Linked DNA regions of Canis lupus familiaris. The protein of the gene in region 1 binds, or shares a complex with, the protein of each later gene. Links are inferred from orthologs where the notes say so. Each region holds a gene or a part of one and is shown on either strand. Other genes may lie near its edges. The genes, in order: RUVBL2, MORF4L1, PDRG1, ING3, WDR92, MEAF6 and MBTD1.

Region 1 (3,709 bases):
GCCTCTCAGGGCAGGAGCTCTTCTGGTCCCTGCCAGTTAATCCTTTCTGTGTAAATCAAGGTTGGGTTCGGCCACATTCAACAGACAGCCCAAAATGGCAGAGACTTAAATGCTCTGCTTCATTCTGTCACATAGAAGAATCTGAACATAAGCCACTTAGGGCTTGTTGAGCTGTTCCATCAAGTATTCACCTTTCTACCTCAATATCCTCTGTACTTTTTTTTTTTTTTTAATTAATTAATTAATTTATTTATGATAGTCACAGAGAGAGAGAGAGAGAGGCAGAGACATAGGCAGAGGGAGAAGCAGGCTCCATGCACCGGGACCCCGATGTGGGATTCGATCCCGGATCTCCAGGATCACGCCCTGGGCCAAAGGCAGGCGCCAAACCGCTGTGCCACCCAGGGATCCCTCCTCTGTACTTTTATGGCAGAGTCACCTCATGTTCCAAGAGGGTTGCCTAAGCTTCGGCCTTCCTGTCCATTTTTTAGTATATGTGTTGCCGAAGTGAGCACAGGCCTTCCCATCCATACTCCCATGTAGGAGGAAGGAGAAAGAGATCTTGCAGTGAGGGTGTACCTCCCTACCTTTAAAAGTAGTTAGCTCCCGTTAAGCAGCTGTCTTGGGACCCCCACATAATTTTTTTTTTTTTTTTTTTTTAAGATTCTTTATTTATTCATTCATGAGAGACACAGAGAGAGAGAGAGAGGCAGAGACACAGGCAGAGGGAGAAGCAGGCTCCATGCAGGGAGCTTGACGCGGGACTTGATCCCAAGTCTCCAGGATCAGGCCCTGGGCTGAATGTGGCACTAAACTGCTGAGCCATACTTTTTCTTATATCTGCCCCATACTTTTTCTTATATCTTATTGACTAGAACTTAATCATATGGTTACATTCTGCTGCGACACTATGGGACATTAACATGACATGAGGGAGCAGGGAGGGATGTGATATGGCAGTTGTCAGGAGAGACTTCCCAGAGAAGTCAGGCCCTGAGCTAAGACTTGCAGGGTGTCTGGGAGTCTTCTGGACACGCAATATGGGACGGGGCTATCCAGGCAAGAGTGTGGCACATGTCTGGAAAGGGGACCAGGAAGAATTTCCACCTCTTACTGGTCAGAAGGGTCCAGTGACTTCCTGTCTGTGAGACTTGACGTGGTGCTTAGAGTGACTGCAAGGTCAGCCCCGGTGTCTGCCGGCCAGCCCCAGGCCAGACAGAAGACCTGTCCCTGGGCTGGTTACAGGTCATGTGATGGGTTCATGGTTGAGCACCAGTGCATGCCTGCCACCCCCAGATCGCTTCTCTGCAGGTGCGGTCCCACACCAGCACTTGTTCTGTTGTGGTCCTCATTATACAGAGATACAAACAGACAAGACTTCTCAGGATCACATGGTGCTAAGCGGTGGAACCGGGATTCGAACCTAGGTGGTCTGGCTCTAGAGCCACCACCCTTAACTACTCTTTCAGTCCTCTTTTGGCCTTGATTCCTGCTCATTACCCCCAAGCCTAAAAGGCTAAACAACTTCTAAAGCCCTGGCGAGGTTATAGGGTCATGAAATTGACCTTCTGGTCAGCATGGGGTTCGAGTCCAGGTCTTCTATGTAGCCCGCCATCCCTGGCTTTCTCCATGTCTCCCTGTCTGCCCCCAACACTGTGTGTATTTCACCTACGCTACTTCCTGAGGAGGGAGAAGAGCTGGTTTGACACAGAATAGGTGTTGGGGACCTGGTGCCAGGCTGTCCCCACTTACCCAGACCACCTCTTCCCCAGGCATGGCACAGGCCCTGGGCCCTGACACCCCGTTCACAGCCATCGCGGGCAGTGAGATCTTCTCGCTGGAGATGAGTAAGACAGAGGCACTGACCCAGGCCTTCCGGCGCTCTATTGGCGTTCGAATCAAGTAAGCACAGGACCCGGTGTGGGGGATGGAGTTAGCTTGCAGTGGCCTTGGGATGACCCCTGCCTGCCCTGTCCGGCTTGTCCCATGCCTAAGGGCTCATGGGAGTTAGCCATTTGCAAGGGCCTGGGCCTCGGGCTCTCTGCTCACATCCGTTTTCCGCCTAGGGAGGAGACTGAGATCATTGAAGGGGAAGTGGTGGAGATCCAGATTGACCGTCCAGCCACAGGGACGGTGAGTCTGCTGCTGAGCCTGGGCCACCTCCAGGGCTGGAGGATGGGGTGCCAGAACCCAAGGGATGTTGGATGTTTGAGCTGCAGGTCAGAGCCCTCTACTGTGTACTGTGGGGGTCATTGACAGTTTATCCACTTTTTTTTTTTAAGATTTTATTTATTTATTCATGAGAGACACAGAGAGAGAGAGGCAGAGACACAGGCAGAGGGAGAAGCAGGCTCCATGCAGGGAGCCTGACACGGGACTCGATCCTGGGTCTCCAGGATCACGCCCTGGGCTGAAGGTGGCGCTAAACCACTGAGCCACCCAGGCGCCCCAGTTTATCCACTTGTGAGTGACGCCCTGAGCCGTTAAAAGCAAGTGGTGTCATGACAGAGAAGGTCTGGAAGTTCCTCACACTTAAATTTTTTTTTTAACTTTTATTTATTTAAATCATCTCTGCCTACAACATGCGGGGCTCAAACTCATGACCCCAAGATCAAGAGTTGCATGCTGTTCTCACTGAGCCAGCCAGGTGTCCCTCTCACAGTTCGTTCTTTCTTTCTTTTTCTTTTTTAAAATTTATCTTAAATAAAATAATTTAAATTCAGTTTGCCAACATGTCATGGTAAACACCTAGTGTTCATCTCACAGTTAATGGTTAGGCTTAAGAACCTGTTCTGTGAGATTTTATGCAGCTTAGCCCTAAAAGGTGTTTCCTATCCAGCTTACATGGTCATGGTGATTTGCTCCCTTTTTTTTTTTTTCAGCTAAGAATTTTAACTTTTTTTTTTTTTTTTTTAAGATTTATTTATTCATGAGAGACACAGAGAGAGAGAGGCAGAGACATAGGGAGAGGGAGAAGCAGGCTTCTCACAGGGAACCTGATGCGGTACTCGATCCCAGGACCCTGGGATCACAACCTGAGCCACAGGCAGATAGATGCTCGACCACGGAGCCACCCAAATGCCCCAACATTTTTGTTGTAAATTGCAACAGATGTAAAGAAGCACGTAAAATAAGCGAATGGTCTAGTATGTTATTATAAAACAAATCTCCTTAGAACTACCACCAAGATAAGAAATTAGAACTTTGAAGAAAAAAAAAAAAAAAAGAACTTTGCCAGCTCCCATCCCTACCTCATTGCTCTTTCTACAACACCCCACATCCTCACAAGGGTGGCTGCCCTTGCCTGTTTTCACTTCTTGGGTGTCATTGGTTTTATCACCCAGCAATGCATTCCCATGCATTAGTCAAGATTGCCCATTTTTAAGATTTCTTTTTTCTTTTCTTTTTTTTTAATAGAGAGCATAAGTGGGGGCACAGGGAGAGGGAGAGGCAGATTTCCTGCTGAGCAGGGAGCCAGAGCTGGGGCTTGATCCCAGGACTCCGGGATCATGACCTGAGCCAAAGTCAGATGCTTAACCAAGTGAGCCACCCGGGTGCCTCTGATGTAAAGATTATGTAAATAAATCGATAAATCTTTAAAATATAATAAAATAAAAATGTAAAACCAAAACCATCTCTCTCTTCCTCCTGAATTCCAGCCCTTTTGTCCTGCCATCTTTCCCTACAAAAAGAACAGCTCACTAGAAAT
Region 2 (3,709 bases), on another chromosome or scaffold:
GTAAAAAATAATTTTGAATGATAATTTAACTTCTCTTTTTCAGTTGGGATGAATGGGTTCCAGAAAGCAGAGTACTCAAATATGTGGACACCAATCTGCAGAAACAGCGAGAACTTCAAAAAGCCAATCAGTAAGTTTTGCAGCACGAGTATGAGAAATGAGAAATGTCTATAAATTTAATTTTGAGAAATGGAAAAGTAGAAATCATGTTGGCTGCCTGCCTAAAAAATGATTCTTGGTACCTATCAGCTGCTGTGTGTTGGGGCTTTAACTTCGAGCAATCAGAGAAGCCTTTTCTAGAAAAAAGGAGTTGTTAGCATACCGGTCATTTCTTGAGTCTGTCCATAGAGTTAGGTAGAAAATAGCAGGATGTTGTTGGAATTCCTGTAGTTGCAAACTCACTGTGATCTTCCTTCCTGATTCTATTATACTTGGAAAGGGACATGGGACGTCAGTTTGAATATAAATCTCAAATGGAATCAAGGTGGCACGATTTACTTTTCCACATACTCATTTAATGACAACTTTATTGAAATTATTTTTGAAGGGAGCAGTATGCAGAGGGGAAGATGAGAGGGGCTGCCCCAGGAAAGAAGACATCTGGTCTGCAACAGAAAAATGTTGAAGTGTAAGAAGCTCTCTTTGTTTTAATTTTGCATATTGTTTTATACGTGAAATTCAAACTCAGTACTCATTATCATGTTTTAGGATTTATTGAAAATGGAAATTGGAACATTTTTGACTTGAAAAATGCCAATGAGAATCGCATTCTCAAGTGTTGGGTTGTTGAAAATAGGTGATAATTAAATACTCCTTAATTTCCCTTAGGTTTTTGTACCACCCTGCCCCCTTTTTATTATGGTGAAATATATGTAACTTAAGATTTACCACTTAACTCCTTTTTAAGTGTATAATTCAGTGGCATTGAGTATTTCCACAACCCTTACTTTTTAAGATGTATTTGTGCATGTATGTTTTTTAGAGTATTATCAGTTGGATACAAGTCAGGTAAGGTATTTTTTGGGTAGATTTGGTTCTCCTCTAGCACTAAAAATAAATACTAGTTTAATTCTTCTCTTGAAACCCATGGTAAGAATGTGTGAGATGTTAACAGTTTCAAATTACCTGTCCACCCCATGGGAGAGGAAACATTTCTTGTTAACTCTTAAGATTTAGAATATCTTGGTAAAAAAAAAAAAAAACTGTGTGGAAGTCATACACATATGACAAAAACTTTAATCAAAAGATCATTTGGGATCCCTGGGTGGTGCAGCAGTTTGGCACCTGCCTTCGACCCAGGGCGCGATCCTGGAGACCCGGGATCGAATCCCACATCGGGCTCCCGGTGCATGGAGCTTGCTTCTCTCTCTGCCTATGTCTCTGCCTCTCTCTCTCTGTGTGACTATCATAAATAAATAAAAATTTAAAAAAATTAAAAAAAAAACAAAAGATCATTTTATTTCTTGTGATTTGATTATTCTCCTTTAAAAACAGGTAGTTTAATGAGAGGTTGTATTCTTGTCAAAGGATCAAAAGTGACAGTGCTCTAAAATATGATTTATCAAAGAAGTTTTTCCTTAGAATTATATCGTATTGCTTTACAGTTAGCGGTCTGGTCTGACTTTACTACCTAAATGTGAGATGTTAGTCATGAAGGTAATTAGACGTTTGGAAGGTTGAGGTGATAATTGATGGCCAGGGAGTGGGTGTGCCACTGAGGGTGTCCTGTAGCTTTCATTAATAAACAATAACAAATGATGCAGTTTTTTGGAAAACTGCCATGTGGTAGTATTCATTAGGGTTTTAATAGCAAGTGAGTCTTAAAAGTCAGCAGTTTTCTCATATGGGAGAATATGATGGATTTATATCAATAAAATAATACATATTTTTTAAAAGATTTTATTTATTCATGAGAGAGACAGGCAGAGGGAAAAGCAGGCTGCATGCAGGGAGCCTGATGTGGGACTCGATCCTGGAACTCCAGGATCACGCCCTGAGTGGAAGGCAGATGCTTAACCGCTGAGCCACCCAGGCATTCCAGTACAATAATATTTTTGATATGTTAATCCTTTATCATGTTAAAAGTTGGTGTAGAAAATTAGTCTACATAGTAGTAGACTTAAAAACTTAGTATTTGAATATAAAGCGTACATATAAAAATGGTTCAGTAATTACATGAAATAAAGTTTTATTTATTTATTTATTATTTTTTAAGGTTTTTATTTATTCATGAGAGAGGCAGAGACACAGGCAGAGGGGGAAGCAGGCTCCATGTAGGGAGCCCAATGTGGGACTCAATCCCAGGTCTCCAGGATCAGGCCCTGGGCTGAAGGCAGCACTCACCGGCTGAGCCACCCGGTTGTCTCTGAAGTAAAGCTTTAAACTCAACTTTCCCTTCCTTGGAGAATTGGGACCTCTTCACATTTATGGACTCCTGGGTCCTTTTGAGGGCTTCTAGGTGTTTTGGGTCTTCTGTGTCATCAGGTAGGATAAAGGTATATTCTAGGATCACCTGGTAAATTTTGTGCCCTAAGACCTGGAACTTCCTTTTTCTCCAAGAGCCTTTATTAGTAGGAAAGATGACATTTTATTGAGCTCATTATCTGGGTGGTTAGAGAAGACCTCAAGTAATTTTTAGCATTGCTTTTCCCTAGTAGAATAGCAGGTATATTTTAAAGTATATGGAAATAATGAGTAATTAAACCTGACAATATTTTTCCCCCATTTCTTTCATTTTGATTTGAGTTTTGATACATTTTTTTGATACAATTTTTAATGTTTGGTTTTATCCTACTTGATCTTTAGGGTTTAGTAATTGTTCTTTTTCTGAATATGCATAGAGAAGTAAAGTAAACTTTGTTAACATCTTGGTCCTTAAACTTTTTTTCCCTAAACTAATAGTGAATATGCGTGATGTTTGTTAGTACTTTGGCTTCAAAAGGTTGTGCTTTGGTTCATTGTTTAGTGGAATGGCTTTTCTTAAGAGTGACTTAGGACTTCTCTTATTTAAATTGAAATCTAACAGCTAATATTTTGACTATATACTTGGTCATAGGGCTTAGAGAAAGAAACAGCACTAGCAGTTTATTGTAGGAAATTTTTGCAATATGAGAAAGCTTGCTTTTTTTTTTTTTTTAATTTTTTTTTTTTTTTTTTTTTTAATTTTTATTTATTTATGATAGTCACAGAGAGAGAGAGAGAGAGAGGCAGAGAGAGAAGCAGGCTCCATGCACCGGGAGCCTGATGTGGGATTCGATCCTGGGTCTCCAGGATCGCGCCCTGGGCCAAAGGCAGGCGCCAAACCGCTGCGCCACCCAGGGATCCCTTTTTTTTTTTTTTTTTTTTTTTTTTTTGAAAGCTTGCTTTTTAATTAACTGTAAGCAAGAAGGTTGAAGCAAGAATGTTCGTGATTCTTTGCTGCTGCGATTCATTTAAGTATAGTTTATAGATTATATAATTAGGGCCCATTGTCAGTGTTTTTCCTTTAGTTTTGTCATATAGAATAAGTGTTTAAGGAATGCCTGTCAGAGCTCTAGGTTTCTCCTAGCCACCACCTGTGTTCTTTTTTTTTTTTTTTAAGATTTTATTTATTCATGAGAGACAGAGAGAGAGAGGCACAGACACAGGCAGAGGGAGAAAGAAGCAGGCTCCATGCAGGGAGCCCGACAGGATCACACCCCGGGCTGAAGGCGGCGCTAAACTGCTGAAC
Region 3 (3,832 bases), on another chromosome or scaffold:
TTCACTCTCATGCTCCAGCCCTGGAGTTTGTTTTGGGTGGGATCATGCAGTGTTTGCACACTAATTACTGGTTTTAGACTCCCATTTGTCCACTTTCATTTCTCACTACATTTTGGAACTTGTTCTTAGTCAGTGCTCAGAGAGCTTCCTTATTCTTGATATATGTACTGTACTCCACTGTCTGCAGCTATCAGTTCGTTTAACTAATCTACTATGGGCAGACATCTAGCTTCCAATTCCACCTGCCCACTTTAGGGTCATCATGGGGAAAACACATGCTACTTCTACTTTAAAAACTGAAGATGTAAAATCATAGGCATGGGTCAAATTTGGCTTATGTCAGGTATTCTGTTTGGCCAACACCCAAGTCTTTAAAAATGTCTGCATTAGCAATATTTAAAAGACAGAAAAGATTCAACTTAAAAATCCAAATTTCTAGCTTCTCTGAAAACAAATGTTAAGATCTGGCCATACCAGCTTGTGTTTCCATATAATTATGGGTTGGAGCCAAGTGGGGTGAGGGGACCCAGGTGAGGCACGTGCTCTCCATTCTGCCGCCATCACTGTTACTGCCTATCTAATCCTGCTATCATTTCCCAGCAGGAGCCACTGCCCCTTTGTAGTGGTGTGCTTGAGGCAGTGTGCCCTCCATTAAGAATGAGATTAGGTAAAGAACAGAAGCTCCTGTTCATTCATTTAGGAAACATTTATTAAGCCCTCAATGAACATTAAAGAGATGGTGCTGTCCTCACAGCACATTCACACCAAGATCCGAGACCACTGAGGGCAGGCGGGAACTGAGTGGTGCTGGCCAGGCCCAGCCTTCAGAGGTGGTGGAGGGCCTCATGAAGAGGCAGCTCCCTCTCCCACCCCCAGTACAGAACTCTGTAAGGCTTTCCTGACTAAACAGCAAGTGCAGGAGTTTGATAAGCAGCACCCACTCTGGGCTCCATCTGAGGGGCAAGCAGAAAAAAAGGGGCCAAAGTGGAGGCAGTGGTGGGGAATGGTATGTCTGCCCCACAGATGGCTGTGGTGAACGATGGAGCACCAAGATTCTATCCTTTCAGAAACCACCTACCTGTGAGCCTCCTGCTTTATTCCAAGTCCATTACATGATGTTTGAGAATGCCTCTCTTCCTGAAAGGAATGCAGGAATCATGCTCCCCGTCACTCCCCCGCCACTGCCAGGGGCCCATGTGAACAGCAGGCTCTTGTTATAAGTGCCTGTTTCGGTCATTCTCACACCCCCAAAGCACTGCCCCCACCCACCACTGGTGGCTGCCAGGACCTATCAATGGGTCTTGTGTCCATCCAACTCCAGTGGCCAGACCCAACAGACACTGGCAGGCTGAGGGCTCCCTCCTGCCATCACAGAGCAGCCAATCCCCACAGACAGAGGCTTCTCATGCTCAGACTCCTGATGCCTATCTCCTAGCAGAGTAGTTCATGTCCTTGCAGGTTACAAAGTTGGAGAGTCCTGGGTCCGCCATGACCTCAGGGGGGATGCTGTCTTAGATCCCTCATTTTGGTTTTTGAGTTTCATCCTTTTAAGATGATCTTCAGAGCTTTAAGTTCATCCTGGTTGAGGGGGCTCAGGTTAAAACCCTTCAGCTCTGGCTTGCCTAGGGGGAGAAAACAATCATCAGCAAGTTGGGCCTCCTGTTGTCCAACCTCCTGCTGGCTCTGGAGTCAGGCCCAGGAAAGGGGTTTATGCTGCATTCATGTGCCAAACACTTGGCCCAAGATCTAGTGGGGGAGGGCCTCAAATTCTGCAATGCGTTGGACAGGGCACATGAGTCACCGAAAACCTGCAGAGCCATGATACTGCTGCCCAGAAACCTACCAATTTCTGCCAAACCTGTGACCAATCTGGAGTGGTTAGCTTTACCCAGAAGTTCAGCTCTGACCTTGACCATCTGACTGAGGCCCTCTCTGTTCCCCTCAGACAGAACTGTTCTGGTTCCTATACCACGCCCAGGATATAATGTGAGATACCCCAGACTGTTCCCCTTATGGCTGGAAAAAAGACTCGTGAGAGGAATAAGACCCCATAAACCTTGTCCATTCCATCTCTGGGCCTGCCAATAGCCTCTGTGCGGCTCACATGCTGCCTAGGCCCTCGCCCGCCTACCTAGGAAGGCCTCCCACATTGACAGTTCTCTCCCAGCCCGGCTTCCAGTTCCCTCCAGGCCCATACCTTGGGCCTCAAAGAGGCGGTTGACCTTCACTTTAAGTTGTTTCCGGAGTTTCTCTATTTCTTTATCCAGATGATCCTGATCTGAAAAAAATGAGGTGGGCACCGGATGGGGTTATACTACAGACACACTGACCAAAGGCAGCTGGGGAAGTCAGCTTCTCCTAGCCTCCTTGAAAGCAAGGGCTCCTGGCATTCGAGAAGAAGGGGACTTCAGAGACCAACTGAGGAAGGAACTAAAGGGCTAGAGAAAGGGAGGTGGTCTGCCCAAGGCGGCTGAGTGAGTCCAGGCAGAACTGAGCACCCGCCTCTCCATCCAGTGACCTGTTTTCATTATGCAATGTACCCTGGGCTGCTCATAGGTGGAGAAGGCAATATCTGGACTTTAGGACCCCCTCCCACAGTGAAATTCCAGAAAACAGAACCATCAGACCAGAATGAAGAACCTAGACTCAGCACATCCAAGATGATTGGACAAAGTGTGGCTAAGGAATCTTACAAACCTAAGTCCATCAAAAACCTAAGCAGTTTTTAAGCAACATGACCATAGTAACATGTGATCTGAACAATCAATGGGCAAATCAGGTGCTCAAGCTTAATCTAATTAACTGTGGTGAACAGAAAAGGTTATCTTGCCCAGATGGATCACATCTGAAGGCAAACTGCACTATAGGAAGTACAGGCTACAAAGCTTGGTGATGCAACTGCCTAATGTCACCTGACTTCACCTGCTCATGAGTGTAGTGCTGGCTAGTTGGTCTTCTCCACAGATTTTCATTCTTTCTGATGGAGAGAAGCTCTGAGCAGCCGAGCCCTCTGGCCTGGGCAATGGTTCTAGTACTCATGGTAAATGAGCAACGCTAGTCTCTTACAAGCTTATTTAACTTGCATCAACCCCTAAGAACTGGTGATGATAATATCTCAGAATCCTTCTAGGTATGGCAACAACCCACAACTGTGGGCCAAGACAGCTGAGAACCTGAGTGGCCAGCAGCCCACCACCCAAGTGCAATGACGACTCTTAATTTTATAGTCATAACAGTAGTGTGTATTTTTTCAACAGGAAGGTGGAAACTTCTCTAAGGTGATCTAGTCTCCTTTGCTATAATTTTATTTCAACAGGGATAGGGAGCCTCTGCCTTCAGGGACAGAGGCGAACTTGCTGGTCCTCTTGGCACATACATTTTTGATGGGGGAATATGCATAATCTTTCGTTTTTCCAGCCAAGGACCCATCTGTACCCTCCCTTTTGTACTTTTATGATGCTCCTCCAAAGAGCCCCCAGGATCATGCCTGCGAAGATTTGAGTAACATGCTAAGTACCCAGGCTGTGGCACACTCTAGAGGCTCACTCTCCTCAAACCTCCATTTTCAGTGCAATCTCTATGGCAGGGGATGTGAAAAGTAAAAGTGCCTCTGCCAGGCTCCCTTGCAGCTATGGTGGCCACATGACTTAGTTCTGGCCAATGAGATGTCAAAAGTCTCTGAGGACGACAGCATTATTTTGAAATAGAAAGCAAGGCCATGTATGGAAAGCCCTCTGTTGCTCCTGCAGCCTGGCCTATGGACATGAGGCCTGAGATGACACAGCCACTATGAGAATACATGAGGGTGACCTTGCTGGATCTCAGTGCCAGT
Region 4 (4,390 bases), on another chromosome or scaffold:
TTAAAAAAATTTTTCCTTTGTTTAAATAAGCAATTTCTAACTTGTTTTACAAAGAAGTCTCTTTTATCAATCTATAGGATCTATTAACTTTAGAAAATTCTAGTTGTTATAAAATGCAAGTGTATAAAACCTCTCATCTGGGGCGCCTGAGTGGCTCAGCTGGTTAAGCACCTGCCTTTGGCTCAGGTCATGACCTCAGGGTCCTGGGACTGGGTGCCCCCAACCCCAGTCGGCTCCCTGCTCAGCGGGGGAGGCTGCTTCTCTCTCTCCCTCTGCCCCTCCCCTGCTCGTGTGCCTGCACCCACGTGTGCTCTCTCTCAAAGATTTTAAAGAAAATCTTTAAAAAACATAAAAAAATAAAACCTCTCATTTGTATAATCCAATTACAAATCACAAGAGAATTTAAAATTTGTAATGATAACGAAGCAAAAATAAGTCACCTTTTCGTGAACTTCTGCTTTGTATCAGATACTATAAATTCTAGTTTAACTGTGTTATTTTAAATCCTCAGATGATCTCCATTCTATAGACAAGGAAAACCCCTCAGAAGTGGTAATGCGGTCAAGGTCAAAGAGTAAGTCAGCAAAACTCTAATACGAACTCGGATCTATCTGACATCAAGATCTGTGCTCAGTCCCATAGAAAACGCTACTTTAGCATTTCAACTACATGACAGTCAAAATGAATTTTGTGGGCAAGCTAAAGAAACACACAGTTCAGACTCCTACACTATGACCCACTGAACATAAAGAAGGCTTCCGTAGCCCATCACCTTGTATGCCGCATGGCCACATGGAACGCACCAGAGGCTCAGGAACCTATATTCATCACCCGTGGGTATGAAAGCGTGGGGTGCGAGTGTGGGGTGGGGAAGCACGGGGGAAAGGACAGGCCCTCAGGAGCTGCAGGATCCTCAGGGATGCTGGGTCTCTGATTTCTTTCCATGATACCCTTTTCCCCCCAGTCATACCCCCAAACCCAGATCCTCCTCCACCGCTACTTTTCGAGGACAAAAAAAAAAAAACCTAGTGGCATGAGAAACATTTTACGTAGATAGCCTAACCACAGCTAGAATAAATGGGATCAAGGCACGTATTTTCTTGAGGACAGACCGCATGAAGGCCAGCCATTAATATCAACTGCACAAGTTTTTTTGTTTTGTTTTGTTTTGTTTAAAGTAACAAATGCAACTTTAATTGATTTCTGGATAAAAACTACTCAGTGCAGGTCAGTAACCATGGCAGCCCCTGCTCTGTTGGAGCCATCTTCAGGCTCCAACAGCCTCCAAGACCATCTGTTGGACGGTCTTCAGGACCTAGGTCAACGGGCTATTTGCATTATCTCATGTCATCCACAGTATTAGAAAAACATTAGATCAATTTAGACGAGATGCGCTGCTGGCAGCCAAGCCTACATCTACAGAGAGGGTGACATCCGGGCTTAAGCGCACACCCCATTGTACATTTTAATCATGTAACGTAAAAAAAAAATAAAATAAAATAATCGTGTAACGTGTAATTCATTCCGCACTCGTAGTTCACAGTATGGTATCCCTGCAAGAGAACCGGAACGGCTGTATTACATTCATTTCATAAAAGGGGGAGAAGGCCTGTGAGGTTCTTTCAGAGCACGACAGGCGTAAATTCGTACTCGTTTTAACTGTGATTTTGCTCCAAGTGTTGACCTCCTCGTTTCCAAGGCACTGACTCTTTCCTTGCTTTGAGTCAAATCCTTCACAAAAACAAAACAAAACAAAACAATCGGATAAACCAAATACTGCTCTATGAAAGAACAACGGTTAATTTTTTTTGGGGGGGTGGGTGGGTAGGGGGAAGGAACCAGACTACCAAGCTACCACTGATCGATGAGAAGTCATCACTTTTATTGCAACAGATAAGCAGCTTTACAGGAAGGTCTATTTTCCTCACTCGTTTTCATGGGGGGGGTGGGGGGGGAATAGCATCATCCTGCTGGCGGGTGGGAATGCATCCTGCAAGGTGCGGCTTTGCAAGACTCGACATTCCAAGTTCAGCGGGGTCACTAAAGAGCCACACCAACCCCCAGGCTGCTGGGTTTTCCGCTCTGCAGAAAATTCTGAGCAGAACCAACTTCAGCAGAAGTCTAAATGCCGAAATCTACGTTCCGGACGCAAGGGCTCGGGCCAGAAACCACCATCTTCTCCACACCTACACCGACGTGCGTTAAAAGCATGTGTCTACGTCCTCCCCGAGGCACAGAAACTTTTATCCCAGTCTTGAATTCGGGAAAGAAACACACACGCGGGCCCCAGCGCCTCCTCCTCGGGTAAAAGCAAAGGGGGAAGCGGCGTGGACAGCAAGAGGCAAGATGCGGCACTGCCTTGTGTATGTGTGTGTGTGGTTTTATGGTTTTGGGGGGGTTTTTTTGGCGTTTGTTTTTTTTTTTTTTTTTTTTTTAAACGACTCCTTATGCACTAGCCCGTGAGCCGGAGGAGAGTCAGAGAGCAGAGGCGACGACGTCGGTGGAAGGTCTGGCCCCGACCGCGCGCGGCCGGGCGGGCGAACCGCCGACTTACTCTGCACCTGCAGGTCCATCTCGCGCATCTCCGTGAAGCGGTCCCGCAGGTCCATGGGCAGCTGCTCAATCACTGTCAAAGGGAGAGGCCGTCAGCGGGGCGGGGCCAACGGCGAAGGGCGCGCTGACGTCACTGCGTGCGTGCGTGCGTGCGTGGGGGGGGCGAAGGAGCCGGCAGCCCACAGCCCGGCTGCCAGTTACCGTGAGAAAGAAACATCCCCCGCCTCCCCCTCCCTCCCGCCATCCCGCCCGCCCGGCCGCTCGCGCGCCCGCCCGCCCGCGGGTCCCCCAGGCGGCCCCCGCCAGCGCCGCCCACTCACTTTCCAGATAGTCCTCTAGGTACAACATCGCGGCCCTTAGAGCTGGGGCAACGAGGGGGTCCAGGGGTTTATTTGTGTCACTCGCTGTCGCCGGAGTTTTGTCCCTTCCAATATGGCGCCTCCGCTAGCAGCACCCGCTCGGCTTCGGCGGAAAAAAAAAAAAAAAAAAAAAAAGAAAGAAAAAAAAAAACCACTTTGGCGCCTGACGGCGCTTGCCTCACTGCCGCCCGGAGCCGTCATTGGCCGGCTGGGGCGATGACGTCAGCCGGCCGGAGTCCGCCCGCGCGGCTTTGTGGGAAGTGTAGTCCGGTTCCCCCCCACGGCGAGGATCGGCGCGCCCGGCGGTTACCGGCGTGGCAACTACGAAGACCAGGCGGCCTTGCGCCCCGTGCGCCGCGGAATCCGAAATGCGGTGCCTCTGTTTATTTGTTGATGCCGGCGCGGGGCATGACGGGAGTTGTAGGCGCCCGCGGAACCCAAGTAGGAGCAACTTTCCACCTGTTCCCGGCCGGCGTGCCTCGGTGGCCCCGGCGGCTGGGAGTCGCGGGTTTCCAGGCGGGCGGGGCAGGTGGAAGGTGTTCCAGCGCCGGAACGGCCAGCGGAGTTCGGGCGATCCGCATTGTGTAAGACAGAACTCCTGGCTGGAACGCATCCTTAGTCTCCGACTGCTCAAAATACCCACGAGGCGCCTGCTTGGCTTTCCTGCACCTGGACGGGTGGCCGCCCTCCACGCGCTCTTTACCTGCTTTTATTCCGCGGTCCGGCTCGTCGTCACCGTGATGTCATCGAGCTGAACGCACGAAGTGCACCCACCAAAAAAAAAAAAAAAAAAAAAAAAAAAAGCAGAACTAGAGAACAAGCAGAAATAACGGATGGAGACTTGCTGCTGTCGAATGAGCTGTTCTAAGAATGACTTCAGGCGGTGTTGAGTAAGCAGCCCGCCCCCAGCTGTCTACACCCGCGGGAGGGGTCATCTTCTACCCCGGGACCCCTTCCCCGCCCCGTGATGGATTCGGTCCTTCACGGCTCAGTTTTCTTTTTCTTAAGAACATCTGCACGCAGCACAGGTCGAGAGCATCTTTCTCTCCCACCTGCCTTAGCTCTCTGTTCGTTTTCCTGGGAAATGTGTCTTCAGTTCGCCATTCAGTGTTCTATTTTCACTTTTTTTTTCTTTTTTTTTTTTTTTTTTTCAAATTGGAGTCGAGACATTTGATGCATTTTTGAGTTTTCTCCCTTCCGCCCTCTTCTACCCAAGACTTTTTCCACCGCTCATGGTCAGGATGCTCACCTGTCGTGTTGGTGAATGTCAAGGGAAACCCACCTCAATTCTAATGATTACCTAGTTTACTTTCTGTACTTTTATCTAAAATCTAGGATTTTCGGGTTTCCTCCCTCCTACACTCCCTTCTTCGTTCCTTCCTTCCTTCCTTCCTTCCGGCTGCCTTTAAGATCTCTTGGATATTTCTGTGGTTTCTCAGTGGTGAATCTAGGTCCATAGTCATTTCTTTGTTTCCTTC
Region 5 (4,322 bases), on another chromosome or scaffold:
ACCCTGGTACCTGTTAGAATCATCTAGCTGAAGTCTTAAAAATACTGATGTCCAGGCCTCACTCTAGTGTAGATGCAAGAGTCCCACGGCATCAGAATTCCCTAAGGTGGGACCATGGCGTGAATATTTTAAAACACACACACCCACCCCACCGACCTCCAGAACGCACTCTGCTGATCCTATGCACAGTAAGGGTTGGGAATCACCAAGCCTGTATTAAACCTACAGCCTTTCCCACTGCACCATCACAGCCAAACGTAATCCAAGTTCTTAAAAGTATTTCTGCGCTAGTTTTATCCTCTCTTTAGAAGAAGGGATTCGTCCCTTGAGTACCTCGGCCCTTCTTCAGCATAGTGTCTTGGCATAGGTTGCCAAGAGATAGAGACAAAGGGCCCTATTTCGCCTTGTAGAACGAGTGTAGTCCTGAAATATGCACAAATCCTACCTTCAAAGCCACAAGTCTGCAAATGCTCTCTGGTTAAATGTGACGGTAGTTGGTATCTGTTCCTAATGCTTCACCTGTAAATTTCTGTCTCCTATTCCAAGGTTTCCCAGTTGTTCAAACCCTGACACCTGTTGGTTAATGATCCATAAACCAATTATTTAAATTTTCCAAGTTACATCCTTTTACAGGTATACGTACACTCGTGCTTTTAACAGGTAATTTATTGAGCGGCTGAACCTTACAAGCCGCGCTCATGAAACACACTACCCTTACTCCCCAGGAGCTTACGACCTACTTAGAGACAAACGGGACACAACTTCTGGAGCGGACCCTAAGTACCCGAGGAATGCAGTGTCAGGATGTGCTCCTGTGGGGATCAAGTCATCCGAACTGGACCCTAAAACAGCAACGGGTGCCTGGGGGCTAACCAGTGAACCACAGAAGACAAGGCGAAGACGACCAAGCCATGCTTAGGAACTCTGACCCAAGTACTCGGCAAGAAAAGACAAACTGAACGAGAAAACCAGCACTCGGAGAAATTTACAGTTAGACGGGATCTCATGTACCTTCTAATCCAAGCCTGCAGATCCAAACTGTATTGATCCTTTAGCTGACAGTTTAACACCTGCCTCGTCCAAGCAGATGCTCTCCAGTTGTTTTTAGTTTTTTTTTTTAAGATCTAATTTATTCATGAGACACAGAGAGAGAGGCAGACCCAGGCAGAGGGAGGAGCGGGCTCCACGCAGGGAGCCCCACGTGGGACTGGATCCCAGGACCCCGGGGTCACGCCCTGGGCCAGGCAGGTGCTCCACCGCGGAGCCCCCCGAGCCCCAGTTTCTTTTACTCTCGCAGAACCGTGTTCCTTTATGGTAGAGAATTCATGTCGGTTTGTATTTATGCATCCTCGGCCTGATTATTTAACGGATCGTGGCTCCCCCGCTGGAAAGTAAACGCCCGAGAGCGGGGACGCTGTCATTCACGTGCCTGCGACACCGGACACCGGGCCAGCGCCTCCGCCACCTACGCAGGCACCTCGGCTTCTGCTTCTATCAAACAGCAGTTTAGGGCAGCCCGGGACGGGGACGGGGACGGGGACGGGGACGGGACGGGACTCAGCGGTGGACCCTGACCCGGACTCAGACCCCGACCGGGACCCCGGACCCCAACCTGGAGCCTGACCTTGACCCGGACCCGGACCTGAACCCGGACCCCGACCCGGACCCCGACCCGACCCCGACCCCGACCCGGACCCCTACCCGGCCCCGACCCGGACCCGGACCCCTACCCGGCCCTGACCCGGACCGGACCCCGACCCGGACTCTGACCCCGACCTGGACCCTGACCCGGACCCGGACCCGGACCCCAACCCGGACCCGGACCCCGACCCGGACCCGGACCGGGACCGGACCCCGGCCCCGACCCGGACCCCGACCCGGACCCCCACCCGGACCCTGACCCGGACCCCCACCCGGACCCTGACCCGGACCCGGATCCCGACCCGGACCCCAACCCGGACCCGGACCTCTACCCGGCCCCGACCCGGACTCCGACCCGGACCGGACCCCGACCCCGACCCGGACCCCGACCCGGACCCTGACCCCGACCCGGACCCCCACCCGGACCCTGACCCGGACCCGGATCCCGACCCGGACCCCAACCCGGACCCGGACCTCTACCCGGCCCCGACCCGGACCCCGACCCGGACCGGACCCCGACCCCGACCCGGACCTCTACCCGGCCCCGACCCGGACCCCGACCGGGATCGGACCCCGACCCGGACCCCTACCCGGCCCCGACCCGGACCCGGACCCCGACCGGACCCCGACCCGGACGCTGACCCCCACCCGGCCCTGACCCGAACCCGGACCCCGACCCGGACCCCAACCCGCACCCGGACCCGGACCCCGACCCGGCCCTGACCCGGACCCGGACCCCCCCCCCGCCCCGGTCCCCGCCGCGCCCACCTCCCGCAGCAGCTTCAGGTCCCCGTGCTGGATCTCGTACAGCTGGACGACGCCGGTGCCCCGCGCGAAGTTGCCCATGGTCACAAACTTGGCGCTGCAGGGCACCCACTTGCAGTCAAACACCGTGTAGTTGAGGCCCTTCTGGATGTGGGCGATGATCTGAGGCTTCTCGAAGGCCGACATGGCGCCCCCCGCCCCGGCCCCCGGCCCCCGGCCCCCGGCCCCCGGCCCCACGGCCCCGCCGGCGCGCCCCGAGAGCGCTAACCGGGAAACCAGACCCCAAACAGCAACGACAGCTTCCCCCTCCCGCTCGCCGTAGCCGCCCCGGGCGCCCCGGCCGGTCGGTGTAGTCGTCCGCGGCCGTGCCTGACGCGCTGCTCAAGTCGCGGAGACGTTTCCTCCCCGACGGCACGCACTCGGCTCCCGTCTTCACCTGCTGCCTCCCGTGCACACCCACGCTGGGAGGCCCGAGGCCCCGGCTGCGGCCGGCGAAGCCAGGGCGGCGCCCCGGGAATCAGGCACGTGTTGGGGCGTCCTCCCTTCCGCCGGCCCGCTTCAGGCCCCCTGCAGGACCCCGAGGGCACGGGGCGGGGCCCTGCGGCTCGTTGGCCGACGCAGCCCCGCCCCCGCGACGTGCGCCTGCGCAGTGCAGCGGCGCCCGCGTCGGGGTCGGAAGCACATGTTGGCGCCGGAGCTCCGCGGGGATGGAGGCGGAGACGGAGATGGACGCCCAGAGCGCCGCGGCCGGGGACGGCTTCACCCCGGTCGCCCGCAGGGGTGCTCGGCGGGCGAAGAAACGGCGGGCTGAGCAGCTGTCGGCGGCGGGCGAGGGCGCGGACGCGGGCCGCATGGACACGGAGGAGGCCCGGCCCGCGAAGAGGCCCGTATTCCCGCCCCTCGCCGGGGATGGAGTCCTGGTACTAGCGGGGACCGCGCGGCGGGGCCGGGGCCTGCGGGTGCTGCCGGAGCTGCGGGGCTGCTCCCGAGGGAAGTCCTTAAGATTTTGCTAATTCATGAGAGACACAGGCGGAGGGAGAAGCAGGCGCCCTGCGGGGAGCCCGACGCGGGACTCGAACCCGGGACCTGGGGTCACGCCCTGGGCGGAAGGCGGCGCCAAGCCGCTGAGCCCGCCCCGCCCCCTCCTGTCGCTCCGCCCCTCGTCTCGTGGCCCCGCCCCTTCCACACTAGTCCCGCCCCTCGCCTCGTGGCCCCGCCCCTTCCGCACTCGCCCCGCCCCCTCGCCTCGTGGCCCCGCCCCCGCATCCCCCGGGGCATCTTTAGTGAATTCCTCCAAGCTGGGGCTCTGCGCCAGGAGGTTTTAATCCGTCGAGCCCAAGCGTCCTGGGGAAGGACGGCCCGCTCAGGGTTGCACCTGCGGCCCCCGGGGCATCTCCTGACCTGCGTGTCCTTTGATCCTAGGGTGGGAAAGAAGAAACCAGGAAGATTGCCGTCCCGGCCAACAGGTACACGCCCTTAAAAGAGAACTGGATGAAGATATTCACGCCCATCGTAGAGCACCTGGGGCTTCAGATACGGTTTAACCTGAAATCGAGGAATGTGGAAATTAGGGTAAGGAGGATGTCAGCCAGTTCCCAAATGTTCCCAAATGTGTCGGGGTCTGTTGCTCTCCTGCGGGCGGGGGTGAGAAGGCGTGAATAGACTTCGTTTAACGGGGATTTGTTTTGTTAAATGGCCACACGGAGGAGTCTTCAAAATGTGCATGCATTCAACCCAAGTAGTCGTTGGATCGGGCTGGCATCCCGCCGCCTGCAGCCCAGGGCGTGACCCCGGGTCCCCGAATCGAGTCAGCATTGGGCTCCCTGCGTGCACCTGCTTCTCCCTCTGCCTGGGTCTCTGCTTCTCTGTGTGTGTGTGTGTGTGTGTGTGTGTCTCGTGAATAAATGAATCTTCAA
Region 6 (3,709 bases), on another chromosome or scaffold:
CCAATCACTGGATCAATGCAAACACAAGAACTGAACCCCATAAGATACACCATCTGAAAGAAGTACACAGCCATGATACAAAAAGCAGGTTATGTTTCAAAGTGACCCACTGTACAGGAAGAGTGTCCAATACAGCTACCCAGAGTCTCAGAAAGATAAATGCACAGATCTGTATTCCATCACCAGACCTTAGAACAGAATTAGACTGGATGGCTTACATAGAATGATACAATTTCTTTACAAAGTAAATACTATCTACCCTATGTTTTATATTTAAGAACACATAGGTACATTCTGTTCACAGGATCAGATTTTCCTAAGAATTATTAAAGTGGGGACATGGAGAGTTATCAGATATGTCTGAAATTAAAAAAAAAAAAAAAAAACAAAAAAAAAACAAAAAAAACTCCCTAACACTTATCAGCAGCAAAGACATATCTCTGTGTCTTTGAATAGCTACAGTCAACCTCTGCATGATAGAAGAGGCTAGAGGGACACGGTTTCTTCCTCCACAACAACAAAAAGACAGGATTAAAGAGACTTAAAGGTTTCCCTAACTTCTAGAAAAAAGAGGCAAGAGTATAAGAGATGTAGTCTTCAGAGACATAGTCGGATAGGAGGTAAAGACAAACCTAAAAATGAAATAATAAAGAAGTTAAAAAAAAAAAAAAAACTTACTCTTTTCAATGAGCTGATCCTGAACTCCTGCCAATGCACTTACTGCCTAAAAGAAAAAAAAAAGAAGAAACCTGTTACTAGAAAAATTATCACAGACCTCCGGAGAGCCCCCGGACAGCAGGGAGAAAGGGAACTAGCAGAAATTTAACTGAGGGGTTTCTCCCCAATGGGCCACAGAAAGATTCCCCCCACTTCACTTACAGCTGCCGAAGTAACTGAGGATTTACTGAAGAGTCGCTCAGCTTCCTTAAACTTCCGGTTCCTTCGGTCGTTTTTGCTATTGGAGTTTCTAAAACACACACAAGAAACTCATAAGCACCAAGCTGAATCTATGGCTCGAGTTGAGGATGGCCCAGGGCACAGTAAGGAACTCTCTCACTGTCTTTTTTTTTTTTTTAAGTTACGAGCTTTCAGACAGAAATGCCTCCACACCTTCTGGAGTGACCGACAGGACCCTAACGCTAAATGCCCACCCAGACAGCAACGGTTTCCAGCGCATAGGGGGGTGCTCCACTGTGGGACATTACTTCAGTTGGGTCACTGTCATTAACATTTTCATATGTATTTGATACTTATTATTAAAAACGGCTAGCATAGACTAGTGATATGAAATGGTTTTGTCAGATAAGCTTAATGTAAAAAATGTAATGAGGGATGCCTGGGTGGCTCAGGGGTTGAGCATCTGCCTTTGGCTCAGGGTGTGATCCCAGGGTCCTGGGATCGAGTTCCCATCGGGCTCCCTGCAGGGAGCCTGCTTCTCCCTCTGCCTGTCTCTGCCTCTCTGTGTCTCTCGTGAATAGGGAAAAAAAAACTTAAAAAAAATTTAAAGAACAAGCCAGGGTTCCTTAAGGAAATGGCTGGTCTCAGTTCTGGGATAAGAAAAGGGCAAGGTGAGGCTAAGAGACCCTGCTAGGACAGAAAGCAGCAAAATGCCTGAAGACTAACAGAGTCTAATAGGGTCACATCAGCAGGACAAAGGAGGCTTCCTCTGGCCATATTTGGGACAAATCAAGCACTGGAAAGGATAATGATGGGTGTGTTTGCTTCGTGAAAAGTCATCAAACTGTATGTTTATGACGTATGTGCTTCTCTGCATGTATTTCAGTAAGTTTATAGCAAAAAATAAACCTCCACAATAAAAAAGTAACGGTACTAGATTCCCACACACTGATTTTTTTTTTTTTTTAATCACTGGTCCTGGGGCACCTGGGTGGCTCAGTCGGTTACATGTCTGCTTTCAGCTCAGGTTGTGATCCCAGGGGCCTGGGGGGCTCTCTGCTCAGTGGGAAGCCTGCTTCTCCCTCTCCCTCTGCCTGCCACTGCCCCTGTTGTGCGCACTCCCTCTCCCTCTCTCTCTGTCAAATAAATAAAAATCTTAAAAAAAAAAAAAATCCATTGGTCTCTAGTGATACTAAAGAGAGAAGGCCAGAGATACAGAACGAAAGGGCGAGAAGATATGAAGGGAAGATTCTTCTTTCTGAATACCAGTGATCCATGTACCAGGACGAGTAAAATCAGAATCCACAGTACATCAAATGAGTCGGGTAAAAATCAACAATGGATACTAAAACCACTGAATAAAAATTTGGAAAAGCGGTATATTCACACTGCCTAAAAGTACAGCCCCCAAACTACCTATAAATTACAGAGAACAAATAAATTTTTACAACGGAGAAATCATATGCTCCATCTTTGTACCAATAATGGGACAATCTGACACTATGTGCCTCCCAATAAAATTGAGGTAAACAACACACCAGGCATACAAATCATTTATGCAATATTTTCGCCAAAAATCCTTAAAGGATCTCTCATCACAAAAGGAAAAATCTGGAATTGGAACATTCTGCAAGACAGTGTCACGAACAACTTTACTGCCAAAAAGGGTGGGGGACTCTCTTAACTCTCTTAAATGAAGAGACAAGAGAGACATAATAGCCAAATATTGATACATGAACACTGAAGGGATCAAAACAAGGTAGCAAAGCATGTCGGGGACAATTAGGGGAATTTGAATAAAGACTATAGTAGATGATACTATTAATGTAATGCAATTTTCTATATGCATTAATTGTGGTTAGGTAAGAAAATATTCTTCTTCAAAAAAAGAAAAAAAAAAAAGGGCAGCCTGGGTGGCTCAGCAGTTTGGCGCCTGCCTTGGGTCCAGGGCGTGATCCTGGAGGCCCGGGATCGGGTCCCATGTCAGGCTCCCTGCATGGAGCCTGCTTCTCCCTCTGCCTGTGTCTGCCTCTCTCTATGTATCTCTCATGAATAAATAAATAAAATCTTAAAAAAAAAAAAAAGAAAAGAAAATATTCTTAGGAGGTAAATGCTGACATAATTAGATAGCAAAGTGTCGTGCTATCTGCTTAAATGGTTAACAAAAAAAAGTATGGAGGAAAGGGATGATATAACTATAAAGGGGTAGCAGGTGGGAGATCTTTGTGGTGATGAAATACTTCTGTATCTTGATTGCAGTGGTGCACGCAGGTGGTGCACGCAGGAGTCTACACGGCAGTGACAATTACACACACACATACACATTGTACCAATGTCAGTTTCCTGGATTTGATATTCTACTACAGTTACATAAAGCCCAACCATCGGGAAAGACTAGGTGAAGGGTACACGGGACCTCTGTAATATTGCTGCAACTTCCCATGTATCTGTAATGACATCAAAAATTTTTGACTTTTTTTCTTTTTTAAGACAGAGAGAGAGGAGGGGGAGGGGTGGAGAGAGAGAAAGAAAGAGAATCTTAAGCAGGTTCTATGCTCAGCATGGAGCCTGACATGGTGCTTGATCCCATGACCCTGAGATCATGACCTGAGCTGAAATCAAGAGCCAGATGCTTAACTGACTGAGCCACACAGGTGCCTCTAAAAATTTTAAGTATAGATATGGGTATGTGGGGATCCCTGGGTGGCTCAGTGGTTGAGCACCTGCCTTCGGCCCACGGCATGACCCCAGGGTCTCGGGATCGAGTCCCATGTCAGGCTCCCTGCAAGGAGCCTGCTTCTCCCTCTGCCTG
Region 7 (3,709 bases), on another chromosome or scaffold:
TGGAAAGATTGGCCAGTAAACTACATAATGAGAGTCAGGGAGAAAACATTTTAGAAAGCTGAGAGTAGTCAGCAAGTATGAGATACTTCAGGGAGGCTGAGATTTGAGGAGGGTAAGTGTTGCAGGAAAGGCAATAGATCTGACAAACTTGGTCACTGGTGAATTTAGCATTGTAGAAGGTTTGGGACAGAAGTCAGACTGCAAAGAGTTACATAGAATATACCTGGAAGTGGATCTCTGGGTAAAGTATGTAGAAGTTCATCATACTGTTGTACCTTTTCTGTAAATGTGAACTGTTTCAAAATAAAATATTTTAAAATTGATAGTGAAAGACATTAGAGTATAAGAAATAGTGTTTGTGGAGCAAAGTTCCAGCAGTAATAGGACATGATGGAAAGGTTTGTGTTGGGGGTAGGGTATTACATCTCAAAACAGGGGCACGAAGAAAGGAGTATGGGGACCCTTGCGCAGGGTGGCCTTAGATTCTTACACAGGAGCATGGGTATCTGTAGCATAAGAGAGGTAAAGTGGAGGATTGGTAAAGGTGGGAAAAAGTTTGGAAAAAACCCTTTCTGCTAAATCAGAAGGAAAGTTATACTGAGTAGGACTCAGAACCCTACCGAGACTAGACAGTTAAATTGGAGAGGAGCACTGGGCCCTGCTTCATGGGCCACAGCAGCCAGCACCTTACTATTGGCAAAAGGCACTGTTTGTCCTAGACCTCCGAAGTCACTTCTGTGTAACCCTGCTTTTGTTCTGGTACACACCGCAATCTGTGGAGGTTTCTCGTTACTATTTCAGTTACTAACACAATTCAGTGAAGAAGCATTTTTCACTTTTAAGAGACCTTTATGTAATACATTTTCCTTTCTTTTAGAATGTCACTTAAAGGATCACTTTTATAGTAGTGATATCTAATTTCAAATACTTGGAATTCTCTTCATTGAAAAGGTGCTGGCTGATGGATTCCTGATGATTGGGATCGATGGCTCAGAAGCAGCAGATGGATCTGACTGGTTCTGTTATCATGCAACCTCCCCTTCGATTTTCCCTGTTGGTTTCTGTGAAATTAACATGATTGAGCTCACTCCACCTAGAGGTACTTCATCCTATATGTACACTGGGTCATCATCCTTGCCCTCTTTTTTTTGCGTGGTATTTACTAATATCATTTAACACAGCCCTGGATTTTCTACTCTGTGAACCTATGATACATGTGTGTATGTACATTTAAACGTACATACCCATACCAAGCGCTGAGGGGTACTCTAAAAATATAAGGCACTGTATTCTAGCTAGCTTTAATAAATTACATTAGTATATAAGTTTTCCTGAGCATCTGTACATTTTATAATATGAATTGGTATTCTCTAAGCCCTGTGGAGATGGCGATGTAGGTAATTGTACACATGAACTTTTGTTAAAAATAGATACATGCTAAAGCCTTTGAGGGAAAGCAAGTTTCCATCTTTAGAATATCATGTGGCTTAAAAAAAAAAAAGACTTACCCTTAAATAGCTTTCAAGGCTTAACCAGTGTCTTTCCTAATTTCAATATCTGAGCCTCGTGTTTTTCTCCTAAGAAAAGAACAGAGGTCTATAAAAATAGTATTTACCCAACCAGTTTTCTTACTTGAAAAGAAAGAAAAATATCACTGTGAAATATGAAATGCTATACTCTCCTACGTGTAGGATTTTAAAAGCAAAGGTCTGTAAAAGGATTGAGACACTTTTGCGTTAGGTAAGTAGGTGCACCTGTGTCTGTCTAGAAATGGAATGAAATCCTTATAACACAGAAGAATGACTGCATTTGACAATATTAGAGCAAGAGTTAAAAGTTTATTATAAAATCTAAAACCTGAGATCTTAGTGTGTAATGAGTCAGTTTTTTATCTACATTTTAATATTTTGCTAATTTTAAATGAACTGCTGATTAAATCAGGTGTGTTTTTCAGGTTATACAAAACTTCCTTTTAAATGGTTTGACTACCTCAGGGAAACTGGCTCCATTGCAGCACCAGTAAAACTATTTAATAAGGTAAATTTGAATAATGGCATAATATGTACAGCTTTTTGATGCCTCACAAATGCAAATCATTGTTGATCAAAATGTCTTTGGTTTATATTAGAAATTCTTTTTTTATTTTTATTTATTTATGATAGTCACTATATGAGAAATTATTAATGGAAATTAGTATAAACAAACATATTTATAGTAATAAAACAACATATTTTCTTTACCTAGGAAATGAAGCTTATTTTCAAACTTTGCTTCATTTTTAATCTGAGTAAAATAGAAATGAATACATTTCCTAATCAGTTCTTAAATACTTCTCACCTACATATGTTTTAATAACTAAAGAATCATTTGCAATTTTTTTGGTTTAAATTAGGTTATCTGGTTATGTTGCTTTTTTTCTTTTTTTCTCTCTCGGTGATTGTGAACTCATGCATTCTTTTTTTCACCCATGGTAATATTCTGCTTCTCTGTGTCAGGATGTTCCAAATCACGGATTTCGTGTAGGAATGAAATTAGAAGCAGTAGATCTCATGGAGCCACGGTTAATATGTGTAGCCACAGTAACTCGAATTATTCATCGTCTCTTGAGGATACATTTTGATGGATGGGAAGAAGAATATGATCAGTGGGTAGACTGTGAGTCCCCTGACCTCTATCCTGTAGGGTGGTGTCAATTAACCGGATATCAGCTACAGCCTCCGGCGTCACAGTGTAAGTTGGTATACAGAAAAGGTGTCCTTTTGTAAAAATCCGCAATTCTCCAGAGGACTGTTTCACATAAGTCATCTTGTGAGCTCACAGGACAAGAATATACCTTTGTCTGATTGGTTGCCAGGTAAGATCTTAAGACTCAACAACAATATCACAGAATCAGACCATGAGTACCACAGCAGTGTGAACTCAGTAGTCAATTACATGATGACTATAGAAAGAAACCCCACAGTAAGAGTACCCACCAAAGTCATCTAGACTTGTTTTAATGAGTTTGAAATTACAGGCTAACATTTACTGGCATATAATAAGTTCTTATTGAATAAATAATGGAATCTGTCTGGTGTCATGGGTTTTACAGAACAAGCGCCCTTATTTTCAAAGCATCTTGTACTTTTTTAAGTATAATGGCCTTGGTAAAGATAATTCATCTTAAATTGTATTTAGATTCATGTGTTTGCAATGCTTACTTGGTACCAATTTTCCATTTTATTTTTCAGCATCAAGAGAAAGCCAATCAGGTTCATCAAAACAGAAGAAAAAGGCTAAGTCCCAGCAATACAAAGGACATAAGAAAAGTGGGTCACCACATGGTGTTTATATACATTTCCTAAGTTGTTAACCAATTGGGGTCACAGTATTCTTGCATAGAAACTAATATCCCTGTGAGAACCTATGACTGTGCATTATGTATTTTGCTTAAAGGTGCAGTATGCCATAAAAGGCAAACCTTTTCAATAAACAGAAACTCTTACATTTTAACGGACAGGAAAAATTATCACCATAATATTTTAAAATATATATGGTAAAGAATACAGTACAAGTAGTTCTTGAAATAATATGTAAACCTACTGAAAATTAATCCTTTTTTTAATCTTTTAAAAAAAAAAAGTTAAAGAAATGCTTGATATTTACAACAGACTTAAAGCCTAAGAAACCCATCCTTCTTATAAACCAAAACTCTCTTTCTAGAATGAGA

The links.
Region 2: RUVBL2 (region 1) and MORF4L1 share a complex: the UniProt entries of both Homo sapiens proteins name them as parts of the nuA4 histone acetyltransferase complex. The link is inferred for Canis lupus familiaris from reciprocal best matches to the Homo sapiens genes RUVBL2 and MORF4L1.
Region 3: RUVBL2 (region 1) and PDRG1 share a complex: the UniProt entries of both Homo sapiens proteins name them as parts of the PAQosome complex. The link is inferred for Canis lupus familiaris from reciprocal best matches to the Homo sapiens genes RUVBL2 and PDRG1.
Region 4: RUVBL2 (region 1) and ING3 share a complex: the UniProt entries of both Homo sapiens proteins name them as parts of the SWR1-like complex. The link is inferred for Canis lupus familiaris from reciprocal best matches to the Homo sapiens genes RUVBL2 and ING3.
Region 5: RUVBL2 (region 1) and WDR92 share a complex: the UniProt entries of both Homo sapiens proteins name them as parts of the PAQosome complex. The link is inferred for Canis lupus familiaris from reciprocal best matches to the Homo sapiens genes RUVBL2 and DNAAF10.
Region 6: RUVBL2 (region 1) and MEAF6 share a complex: the UniProt entries of both Homo sapiens proteins name them as parts of the nuA4 histone acetyltransferase complex. The link is inferred for Canis lupus familiaris from reciprocal best matches to the Homo sapiens genes RUVBL2 and MEAF6.
Region 7: RUVBL2 (region 1) and MBTD1 share a complex: the UniProt entries of both Homo sapiens proteins name them as parts of the nuA4 histone acetyltransferase complex. The link is inferred for Canis lupus familiaris from reciprocal best matches to the Homo sapiens genes RUVBL2 and MBTD1.

Annotation. Positions count from the first base shown.
Region 1 is NC_049222.1:108,064,902-108,068,610, reverse strand, and holds part of RUVBL2 (ruvB-like 2), read left to right. Parts: intron 1-1,772; coding exon 1,773-1,902; intron 1,903-2,066; coding exon 2,067-2,133; intron 2,134-3,709. UniProt on the Homo sapiens protein: Possesses single-stranded DNA-stimulated ATPase and ATP-dependent DNA helicase (5' to 3') activity; hexamerization is thought to be critical for ATP hydrolysis and adjacent subunits in the ring-like structure contribute to the ATPase activity.
Region 2 is NC_049224.1:58,626,671-58,630,379, reverse strand, and holds part of MORF4L1 (mortality factor 4-like protein 1), read left to right. Parts: intron 1-43; coding exon 44-130; intron 131-547; coding exon 548-628; intron 629-3,709. UniProt on the Homo sapiens protein: Component of the NuA4 histone acetyltransferase (HAT) complex which is involved in transcriptional activation of select genes principally by acetylation of nucleosomal histones H4 and H2A.
Region 3 is NC_049245.1:21,881,693-21,885,524, forward strand, and holds the end of PDRG1 (p53 and DNA damage-regulated protein 1), read right to left. Parts: intron 2,279-3,832; coding exon 2,198-2,278; intron 1,623-2,197; coding exon 1,540-1,622; 3' UTR 688-1,539; downstream 1-687. UniProt on the Homo sapiens protein: May play a role in chaperone-mediated protein folding.
Region 4 is NC_049235.1:59,197,593-59,201,982, reverse strand, and holds the start of ING3 (inhibitor of growth protein 3), read right to left. Parts: upstream 2,964-4,390; 5' UTR 2,902-2,963; coding exon 2,874-2,901; intron 2,627-2,873; coding exon 2,555-2,626; intron 1-2,554. UniProt on the Homo sapiens protein: Component of the NuA4 histone acetyltransferase (HAT) complex which is involved in transcriptional activation of select genes principally by acetylation of nucleosomal histones H4 and H2A.
Region 5 is NC_049231.1:68,525,145-68,529,466, forward strand, and holds the start of WDR92 (WD repeat-containing protein 92), read right to left. Parts: upstream 2,917-4,322; 5' UTR 2,593-2,916; coding exon 2,410-2,592; intron 1-2,409. Other genes in the region: RNA-binding protein PNO1, read left to right, coding at 3,114-3,326, 3,829-3,978. UniProt on the Homo sapiens protein: Key assembly factor specifically required for the stability of axonemal dynein heavy chains in cytoplasm.
Region 6 is NC_049236.1:5,020,218-5,023,926, reverse strand, and holds part of MEAF6 (chromatin modification-related protein MEAF6), read right to left. Parts: intron 968-3,709; coding exon 880-967; intron 725-879; coding exon 679-724; intron 1-678.
Region 7 is NC_049230.1:26,972,848-26,976,556, reverse strand, and holds part of MBTD1 (MBT domain-containing protein 1), read left to right. Parts: intron 1-951; coding exon 952-1,099; intron 1,100-1,954; coding exon 1,955-2,037; intron 2,038-2,495; coding exon 2,496-2,730; exon of another isoform or gene 2,731-2,854; intron 2,855-3,230; coding exon 3,231-3,308; intron 3,309-3,709. UniProt on the Homo sapiens protein: Chromatin reader component of the NuA4 histone acetyltransferase complex, a multiprotein complex involved in transcriptional activation of select genes principally by acetylation of nucleosomal histones H4 and H2A.